Linked DNA regions of Neurospora crassa OR74A. The protein of the gene in region 1 interacts with the protein of each later gene in a pairwise test. Links are inferred from orthologs where the notes say so. Each region holds a gene or a part of one and is shown on either strand. Other genes may lie near its edges.

The links.
Region 2: the proteins of NCU03051 (region 1) and pod-5 interact in binary tests that used the Saccharomyces cerevisiae proteins (3 or more experiments, as listed by UniProt). The link is inferred for Neurospora crassa OR74A from reciprocal best matches to the Saccharomyces cerevisiae genes DIP2 and UTP13.

Annotation. Positions count from the first base shown.
Region 1 is NC_026501.1:8,275,759-8,281,142, reverse strand, and holds the start of NCU03051 (WD domain-containing protein), read left to right. Parts: upstream 1-2,243; 5' UTR 2,244-2,357; coding exon 2,358-2,374; intron 2,375-2,443; coding exon 2,444-5,321; 3' UTR 5,322-5,384. UniProt on the Saccharomyces cerevisiae protein: Involved in nucleolar processing of pre-18S ribosomal RNA.
Region 2 is NC_026505.1:1,894,150-1,899,256, reverse strand, and holds pod-5 (polarity defective-5), read right to left. Parts: upstream 3,186-5,107; 5' UTR 3,093-3,185; coding exon 324-3,092; 3' UTR 175-323; downstream 1-174. Other genes in the region: NCU03627 (hypothetical protein), read left to right, coding at 3,619-3,651, 3,708-5,107. UniProt on the Saccharomyces cerevisiae protein: Involved in nucleolar processing of pre-18S ribosomal RNA.

The sequences.
Region 1 (5,384 bases):
TAAGTAAATATTCAACTATACCGCAAGCTACGTACAAATAGGAAATTAACGAACTTTGAATTTTTAGTATATTAAATCTATAAATTAATTATTTTTTTTTATAGTAGCTTTAATATTCTATATATTAAGCTCCCTCCTATTTAGAATATAATTAACTATACTAACTCCTAATATATTTAATTCGCTTAAGGATTTTAAAGTATACTAAATATAAACCGGGGCAACCTACTAAATAGACGGAAAGAACTCTAATTTAATACTAAATCAATAATAACTATACTTTTTCTATATAATAGAATACAAATAAACTTCTTCTCCTAATAATTATAAGCAATACTAACGTAATAGAAATATAAATTATAAGCTACTTAATTAATAATAAATAAGTAAAAGTAATAATAATAAAGGAAGTTTAAGAGGAAATAGAAATTTTAAAGGAAATTTAGGAAGAAATAGAAATTTAGGAGGAAATTTCCTATAATAAAAGTAAATAGAAGTTCTAAATCGCTTCCACTACCCACTACCTAACACCTATTCCATTCCGTCTACCCTACTATTACTAAAGCCCTTAGCGCTACTACCCTCCAACTATATAAATATTTAAAATAATTACGTAATATAATAATTAACTATAAAATATCCCTACTTAACTCCGAATAGAGACCTAAATAGAAGCTAGAGTCGTTAGTAGTTTTTTTATTATAATACTAAGGGGTATTATAAATAGAACCGACGAATACTATTTTAACTTTCTTTATTTAAAAGTAAAATTAATAGTAGCGTACTCCGTATATACAATCTAATTAATATATAAATTTCCACTTCCGTAGGGGACCTTAATATATATACTATAAGAAATATAGGTAGCGACCCCCAACTCCCACTATATATCTACAATATACTAACGTTATTATAAATAATTACTATTATAATATATAGATTTAAATTATTACACACCTTATCGTAGGGTTTCTATAAATTAAAGCGTAATATATTAGTAATACTAGTACTAATAACTACCAATAATCTAAGATCCTAATACAAATTCGGGGTACTATATAAAGGGGCTTAAAAAAAAGCAGGTGTAAAATAAATACCCGGGCTACGTATTTCTTTATACTACTAAACGCTAGCTACTAGGAATAGAAAATAGGAATAAATATTTAATATTTTTACAATAATAGTAAATAAGGGAATTGCCCTAAACTACTTTAAGGGTAAGGCACAAAGTATACTACCTAAAAATACCTATAGCAACGGAATTAAGATAGTAAATAAATACTAACAGCAACCCCAAAGTAGTAAATTATAAATAAATATTAAATAAATATTACAATAATTTCAAATAATATAATAATACTCATATAATATTTAATTATACCATTCAACTTCCAATCGTATATCAATTAATAATTATTATATTACATATACAATAGTAAAAGTTTAATAAAATAAATTAATATATATATAGTAGGATATTTATAAAAGAAAAAAGAATAAATTTAAAATATAAATTGAACCTTCAAAAATAATTCTTATACGAGTTTATTTTGTATTGTAAATAGATAGTTTAACTAATTATTACTTCGGAGATAAAATAAAATATTAAAGATGAAGTACCTTCGATAATTGAACATTCTATTATATAGAAGTTTCTATTATATACGCGAACCACTTTTTAACGAAAATTCCTATTGTACGCACTACTTTTTATTCTATATAAAATACTATTACTATTTAAGTATACCGTTCTAGCGGGTCAGCTATCCAAACGCAAATAGACCAACTACCGAAACGCATTAATTACAATCCACAATTGTTCAACCAAACATACAATTATCGAAAAGGGGCTTATACAAGCGGATTCGTTCTATAACGCTTTTGCACTGTCAACACCACTGCCTGCACCCTGTTCTGGCCCTGTTGTCAGACCCCCTATTCCCAGCAGGGGGTCAGGTCCTCGCTTCAGGCTGGCTGACGTTGCTGGCTCCAGGCTGAAGTACTTTGGCTCCACTCTGGCGCCGGAAGACACGCCGCCAAGCCTGGAAACTGCCCCGCAGAACCCGTCCAGGCCGTGATACGATGCGGCGGCGGGACCGGGCCACTTTCAGACAGGGGCCGGGCCAGCCACAGCGGACAGTGGCCGTCTGGGCAGGCAGTGGCTGGTGGAAATGGACGCGGCAAAAGTTCTTATCTTATCACTTGCCGGACTGGCAACGCCAAAAAAAAGTTCAGGGACGGCAACCCACTGCGCAGCGGCGACACGATTGTGCTAGTGGACATTGAATCGCGAGAGACCTTGCGCATGTTATTTTGGATTGGCATCTTGTACTAGTGGCTGTCCAATTATCGCAAATATGGTCAAATCATACCTGTAAGCCTTGCGATTCTGTCCTACTTTTCTCTCGCCTGATGGCATCTCTAATACACCTGGGAACAACAGCAAATTCGAGCCCTCCAAGTCCTTCGGTGTCGTCGCAACCAGCTCCTCGAATCTCGTCTGGACCTCCTCCAAAGACAAATCTGGCACCGGTGCGGGCCAGGCTATCGTCGCCGCCAACAATGAGGTTCTAACTTGGGATATCAAGAAGGGCGAGCTTCTCAACCGCTGGAAGGACGAGAACTGCAAGGCCCAGGTCACTGCCATCGCCCAGAGCAAGACCGATCCCGACGTATTCGCTGTCGGCTACGAAGACGGCAGCATCAGGCTGTGGGATAGCAAGATCTCCACCACCATTGTCAGCTTCAATGGACACAAGTCGGCAATCACGATACTGGCCTTCGACAAGTCGGGAGTGCGCCTGGCCAGTGGCGCAAAGGATACCGATGTGATCGTTTGGGATTTGGTCGCCGAAGTCGGCCAGTACAAGCTACGAGGACACAAGGATCAGATCACAGGACTGCGATTCATCGAGCCCGAGCCGCAAATACCCGAAGGCGGCGACGACGAAGAGCAGGCTATGGTGCTGGACAACGAAGCGACAGAAGGTTTCCTCTTGACGACCGGCAAGGATGCGCTCATCAAGCTTTGGGATCTTTCATCACGGCATTGTATCGAGACCCATGTGGCACAGAACAGCGGCGAGTGCTGGGCGCTTGGTGTTTCTCCCGACCTTAGTGGATGCGTCACAGCTGGCAACGACGGCGAGATGAGGGTATGGGCTTTGGATGTAGCAGGACTCGCTTCGTCAGCACGCAAGGTCGATCTCTCGCAAGCAATCAACTTCCTCCACGATCGCGGCACACTACACCGTTCGAGCAAAGAAAGGGCCGTCGAGGTCATCTTCCACCCCCGTCGCGACTATTTTGCAGTACATGGCGTCGAGAAGTCTGTCGAGATTTGGAGGATACGAAACGAAGCCGAAATCAAGAAGAGCTTGGCGAGGAAGCGGAGAAGAAGAAGAGAGCTGGCTGCGAAGAAGGGCAAGAAGGAAGCAGACGCGGAAGAGGAAGACGACAAGGCCGATGATATTTCAAAAGCAGACATCTCCGACGTCTTCGTGCAGCATGTTATCGTGCGGACAACAGGCAAGGTTCGGTCGGTCGCTTGGGCCCTCAGTCAAGGAACCAAGGATCTCCAGCTCCTTGTTGGAGGCACAAACAACCTGCTCGAGACATATACCATTGTTGGAAAGGATAAGCTCAAGTCCAAGGGTGATGCGCCAGACTACAACAAGGCGCTTGCGGTGGAGCTTCCCGGACACCGAACAGACATTCGTGCCCTCTCCATCAGCTCAGACGACAAGATGTTGGCTTCGGCAGCAAACGGCTCCCTCAAGATCTGGAACATCAAGACCAACACATGCATCCGGACATTCGAGTGTGGCTACGCGCTCTGCTGTTCCTTCTTGCCTGGCGACAAGGTGGTCGTGGTCGGAACCAAGGAGGGCGAGCTTCAGCTTTACGATGTTGCTTCGGCATCTCTGTTAGAGAGCGTCAACGCTCACGAGGGCCATGCCATCTGGTCACTACAGGTTCACCCAGACGGCAAGTCCGTTGTTTCTGGCGGTGCTGACAAGACAGCCAAGTTCTGGGACTTCAAGATCGTTCAGGAACAGGTTCTAGGCACGTCAAGGACAACCCCCAAGCTCAAGCTTGTCCAGTCCAAGATTCTCAAGGTATCAGACGATATCCTGAGTCTCAGGTTCTCCCCCGACGCGAAGTTGCTTGCTGTTGCCCTTCTCGACAGCACTGTCAAGGTCTTCTTCGTCGACTCTTTAAAGCTTTACCTCAACCTTTACGGTCACAAGCTGCCCGTTCTCAGCATGGACATCTCCTACGACAACAAGCTCATTGTCACAAGTTCCGCCGACAAGAACATCAGAATCTGGGGTCTCGATTTCGGTGACTGCCACAAGGCTCTCTTCGGTCACCAGGACTCCATCCTCCAAGTTGCTTTTGTTCCTCACAACTCGGACGGCAACGGCCACCATTTCTTCAGTGCCAGCAAGGACCGCACCATCAAGTACTGGGATGCCGACAAGTTCGAGCAGATTCAGAGGATCGACGGCCACCACGGCGAGATCTGGGCCATTGCCGTTGCTCACAGCGGCCAATTCCTCATCAGCGCTAGTCATGACAAGAGTATCCGCGTATGGGAGGAGACGGACGAGCAGATCTTCCTCGAAGAAGAGCGCGAGAAAGAGATTGAGGAGCTGTACGAGAGTACGCTCACCACCTCGCTCGAGCAAGACCCCGACGCCGAGGACGAGAACCGCGAAGTCGGCGCTGCGTCCAAGCAGACGGTTGAGACGCTCATGGCGGGTGAGCGCATTGCCGAGGCGCTCGAACTCGGCATGGCCGACCTCAACGCTATCAAGGAGTGGGAGGAGGCCAAGCAGCAGAACCCCAACGTGGCGCCGCCGCAGCGCAACGTGCTTTTCATGGCGCTCGGCAACATCAGCGCCGAGCAGCATGTCATGAACGTGCTGCAGAAGATCAAGGCGTCGGCGCTGCATGATGCTCTGCTCGTTTTGCCATTCGCCACCGTCCCCATGCTCTTCACCTTCCTCAACATCTTTGCCATGCGCTCCATGAACATCCCGCTTACTTGTAGAATTCTGTTCTTCATGCTCAAGACCCACCACAAGCAGATCGTGGCGAGCAAGACGATGCGCGCCATGTTGGATGGCATTCGCACCAACTTGCGTGGTGCACTCAAGCGCCAGAAGGATGAGATGGGGTACAATGTTGCGGCGCTCAAGGTCGTAGGCATGCAGTTGCAGCATAAGAGCGTGAAGGATTATGTTGATGAGAAGTGGGAAGAGGAGAACGAGGAGAACAAGGCAGTTAAAAAGCGTGCTTTCGTGCAGGTTTCTTGAGCGTCGGATGGTTGGGGTTGGCGAAGGAAACAAACGCCAGCATGATACATGGGAGTGACCTAC
Region 2 (5,107 bases), on another chromosome or scaffold:
TCGAGGCATGGTGAGTTAAACTATGGGGTCGACGACGCAACGAGAAACGTTACCAAAGGAATCGGCCATTATGGTACATGGCTGACGCTACACACGCATTATTGATACCCAGGGCGAGGCATGAAATAGATTTAGGAATGGGCTTCTCACAAGAAAGAAAACTTCATCAACAATCACACAATCGGCAAACGGGACACTAGCATTCGGTCTATACGTGTATGTGTTTCAAACTTGGTATCACATTATTTCATCCCATTTCACAAAAAATCCACTGCTACTTTTCCCAGCCGTTCGTTATGCTTCCAAAATTTCAAGGCAAAAATCTATGCATCAGCCATAACCAGATCCCCATCCCTCTCCTCAATCGCCGGCGGTGCCAGACTGTCCATTTCCTGCAAAGTATACTCAACAAGGTAACTTTCATCCACCAGCTCTTCTATGCGCTTATAGTGCCTCTCAGTATACACCCTCAACGCGTTGAGCACCTCCTTCAGACTCTTCTGTCCCCTTGCGCCCTTGACCGACAGGTTGGAGAACTTGTTGGCAGGGTAGAGTCGGACGAGCGCCCAGAGGATGCGCTGCGCCACGGGCGCCGTGCGCGCATTGGTGTTCCAGTCGCGCAGCCTCAGCAGGAGCAGGAAAATCTGCTCGTCGGAGAGGTTACCAAGCACCTGATCGACGGCCTTGATACCGCAGAGAGAGCCCTCTTCGGGGGCGTTGGTAGTGACCACGTTAGTGAAGATACCCAGGAGACGACCGGGGTGGTTGAGCTGCAGCGCCAGAATGATAGCGTCACGGTAGGCGCCGGCGTGGATGTAGTTCTCGAGCTGCTGCTCCTGCTCGACGAGCTTGAGGGCGGCCGAGGACGCGGCGGCATGGGTCTCAGCCGAAGTGTCCTTCCAGAAGGTTACGCGGGAGTCGGAACCACCAGACACAAGCATATTGGTCTTGGGGTGCACCGTGAGCGTCCAGAGACGGTCTTCGTGGTTATCGAGCGTGCACTCGGTCTCACCAAGGTTGGCGTCCCAGACCTTGACGAGGGAGTCGGCGCCCGCAGAGGCGAACTGGATGCGCTGCTTGGCCTTGGAGGCGGCAGCAGCAGCCTCGTCTTCAGCGTCGTCAGCGGCCTTGGGAAGGCGCAGCCAAACAACCTTGAGGACGTTATGGGAGTGGCCCTCGAATGTGCGCAGACAGGTGTAGTCCGAGAGGTTCCAGAGCTTGATGGTCTTGTCACCAGAACCCGTCAAGATTACACCCTTACCGGAAACAGCAGTGCCGGTCTCGCCTTGAATGGCAGGCATGCCCTGAGGCGCGAACCGAACCGTCCAGACACCCCTGCGGTGACCCTTGAGGATACCTACGACTTCTAATGTTGCGGAATCCCAGATCTTGACCGTCTTGTCTTGTGATGCCGAGGCAAAAAGCTTTCCGTTGGGGCTGATGTCGAGAGCGTTGATATCCTTCTCGTGGGCTAAGCGACGGAGACTGGTTGAGACGGCTCCCTTTTGTGATGTTCGGGGAATGTCACGCTTCTGAACGAACCGATCCTGGGAACCGGAAATGAGGAATGCGGGCGGGTGGTCGAGGGGGTTCTTGAACGCCTCCGAGTTCTCGGGAGGTACGATCTTGGGGAGTGCGACAGCGCCGACAGACTCGATGTGGCCAGTGAAGACTGCATAGCACTCGAACGAGTTATTGGCTGGGTCAACCCTCCAGAGGCGAGCTGTGTTATCCTTGGCACCACTAGCAACCCAGTGGCCAGACCAGTCTACATCGAGAGACATGACAATATCCTCGTGTCCCTTGAGTAGAGCTACGTCATGGCCAAAGTATGCCGCGCCCTCCTCCTCGTCGCCCAGCTGGGGCTGCTTATCCGCCACGGATACAAGTCTGATATCTTCGGAGTTGGTTGCAAGAGCCATGAGAGACTGATCGGGCAAAAGGTAAACAAGGTCGAGAATTTCGTCGTGTGTTCCCGAGATGCGCCTGAAGGGTTCCAGAGGCTTCGTCGACTTCTTGGTGGCATCGGCGACCGAAGGTGTGCGGTAGAGGGCGAGGGTGAAGTCAGACTGGGCGCAAACAACAAGGTTCTTGTGGGGAAGAGCAAGGGCTGACACTATCGACTCGGCTTCCGACTTGGCGTCTTGCTTTGCTGTGATTTCTTGGTGTGTGGTTGTGTCCCATAGCCTAAGTAGGCCACTTGTTCCAGCCGAATACATCAAGCTTCCGTTGTTGAGGAAGCCGACAGCTTCAACGCCTTCATGGCGCAACATGGGTGTTCCCCTCCATGTCCCCTCCTTCCACAGCCATACTGTCATTGTCTTATCTCTGCTACCGCTGAGAAGGGCATGTAGTTCTGGTGAGTAGTCAAGGCTTTGTACGTTGGACTCGTGCGCTTCTCTCCTCGAAGTCGGGTCGGCGTAAACGGGGTAGGTCTTGCGTTTGCTGAGGTCAAAGATGCGGATCTTGCCGTCCTGTGTGCCGTAGGCAAGACGGAACTTTGAAGCGACGCTGTCATCCTGAGCTTGCTCCTCCTCGGCTGTGCTCTTTCGCCTGTTCTTCTTGTTCTTGTTGCTGGCTTGGTCCTCGAGAGCGGCAATCTCGAAGAAGTGGAGGGCAGAAATAAGGACACTCGGGCCGCTAACGGTATGGGTAACGTATCCTCCGACAATGTCCCAGATCTTGATGGCGCCGTCGGCAGCACCGGTGGCAAGAAGGGTGCTAGTTCGGTCGACCGCGAGAACCACGACGGGGGTGGCGTGGGGCTTCGTGGTGCGTACAAGGGTGGCTTCGATGGAATCGTAATCTGGTGAGACCTTGAGGGAGTATATGCGCATAGTAAGAGAACGAGAGCAGACAATCAGGTGGGAGGCCGAAGGGGTGATGGTGAGGGTCGAGATGGGCTCTCCGTCGCCCTCGATCTCGGCGAGCTGCTTGCCGGTGTTGAGCTCTGTGAGGACGGCCTGCTCGCCGAGGGTGGTCGCGAGGATCCTAGCGCCATTGTCGAGGGCTACGGAACCTCCTGTGAAAATGGGCTGGATGACATTGTTGACCTCGAAGGTCGTCTTGGTGGTGGTTTGCCTGTACGCCATTGTGGTGACGGAGTGTCTGGCTGTACAAGTGGATTAAATCAAACAGAGAGGCAAGGAGGGTTGCGATTGCGCGCCGCCGCCTTTGGGGTTCTGCTGTTAGAACGTCAAGTGTAGGGTGGTACACTGCAAAGTCCCCAATCCCAAAAACTTTTCGCGGGTCGCTGCCTGCCGCCCGCTGATAAGGCCAGGCAATAAGGTTATCTTAGCGCCATGCAGATCCAACCCCTGTAGGAATCCGTGACGAACCACGCTGGAGCACTGGAGCAACTGGAGCATGACCCTCCCTCGGCTTTCTGTGCTCCCCAATCGCCCCCACCAACGTCAACTGTCTGTTCCAGTCTCCATCACTCATCAGCTATACCACCACTATCTTCACCATAACACAATCTCTGGCACAGGACCTAGTTTGTTACACGAGGATGGCCACTGACTGGTCAAATTTCACCGTGTAATGTACACATAAACATCTTGGCAATGCCGGATAGTAATCTACAAACACCTCCTGAATCCAGTTGACCCTTTCACGATGCGGTTGGGCCCACTGACATCACAGGCCCTTGTAAGTCATCGTTGCAAGACTTTCGGGCTACAACTTCGTTCTGACACTAAGGACAGGGCCGGTCTCCCTACGATGAGGTAGTTGAGGGCACTGGCGAGCCCCAACCCGGGGCCCCAGAGCAGTTGTATGATGACCGAGGACGACCAGTGAATCCAGAGACACGGCGCATCAACAGAGACATCATCCGCTCTCACAACGAGGTTATGCTGGTCATCGGCGTTGCCGAACCGGACAGTGGCATCAACGAGGCCCAAGCTCTATACGAAGCCGCCACCAAGCACCAGTACTACGAAGATGGAATTGGGAGGAAGCTGTTCCTCACCGGCGAGGTCTTGGCCACCGTCGGAGTCTGGGGAGTCAACGGCTTGAGGCAGCGTATCTTGCTGTACAAGGACTACGCCCATGTTCCCTTTTCTCGTCTATTTCACTTTCACAGGCGCCAGCAGTCATGGGGAGAGTACCTCTGGGCCGGGCTGCCATCGTATGTCCTGAGCGATAGTTTTGCTGGATTCGACATGCCAGAATACCCATGGGTCAAGTACGTGTTCTCCTGGGTCAACTTACACCTAGAGATCTTCGTCTTCATGCAACGAACCGGCCTTGTGAACACCTCGAGATGGGTTCCCACCCTTGGTTTCTTCATTCCAGGCTGCAATGACTCCCCAATCTTCCTACCAAAACTCCCATCCTCCTTTACCCCTGGAAGCATCATCAGCTGGCTCGGCGCCTTTGTCGCCGGTATCGCCCCTTTTGCCGGCTACTGGTTCTTTTCAAAGACATACGCCCGGCTCGTCTGGTCACTTAGGCGGAAAATCCAACGACGCTTGCCCAAACCCATCAACTTCAGCAGGAGGAGGACTCTTAAGGAGGTAGTCCCCTATTTACAACCGCCCAGTGGAACATACATCCCTCCCACACCCACACCAGAAGAGCAGCAACAGCGACAAGAAACTCAGCCACGAACACCGACACCAACACAACAGCAGCAACAACAAGCCCCAAGCGCAAACGCAATCGAAGCAGGCTGGGAAATGGTCCACGCCCCCTCGGACACCCTTCCAACCAACGACGCCCTCCCTACCGGTCCTCCACCCGATGGTACCCGCCGCCGCCAAAGCATCATCTCCGTCAGCGGTCCCGGTCCCGGCACTCCCGGCGGTCCCAACGGATCCACCTCGAACACAAACCAATCCCAATCTCAATCCCCAGCAGCAACAGCCGACGAAGCCCCTTTCCTCAGCGACGACGACGAAGAAACCGAGCACGTCAACCCCACTCTAATCACCTTTGACGTCGACACCAGCGACTCCGCCACCAGCGACTCCGCGCCCATCCCTCCCGGCGCAGCAGTTTGGGCCGCCGAGCTGAGGCCTAACGTGCCTGATACCTCTGCTGGCTCGAACCGTAACTCGCAACAAACACAAACCAATAATAGCAGCAGCTTGGGTTTGGACGC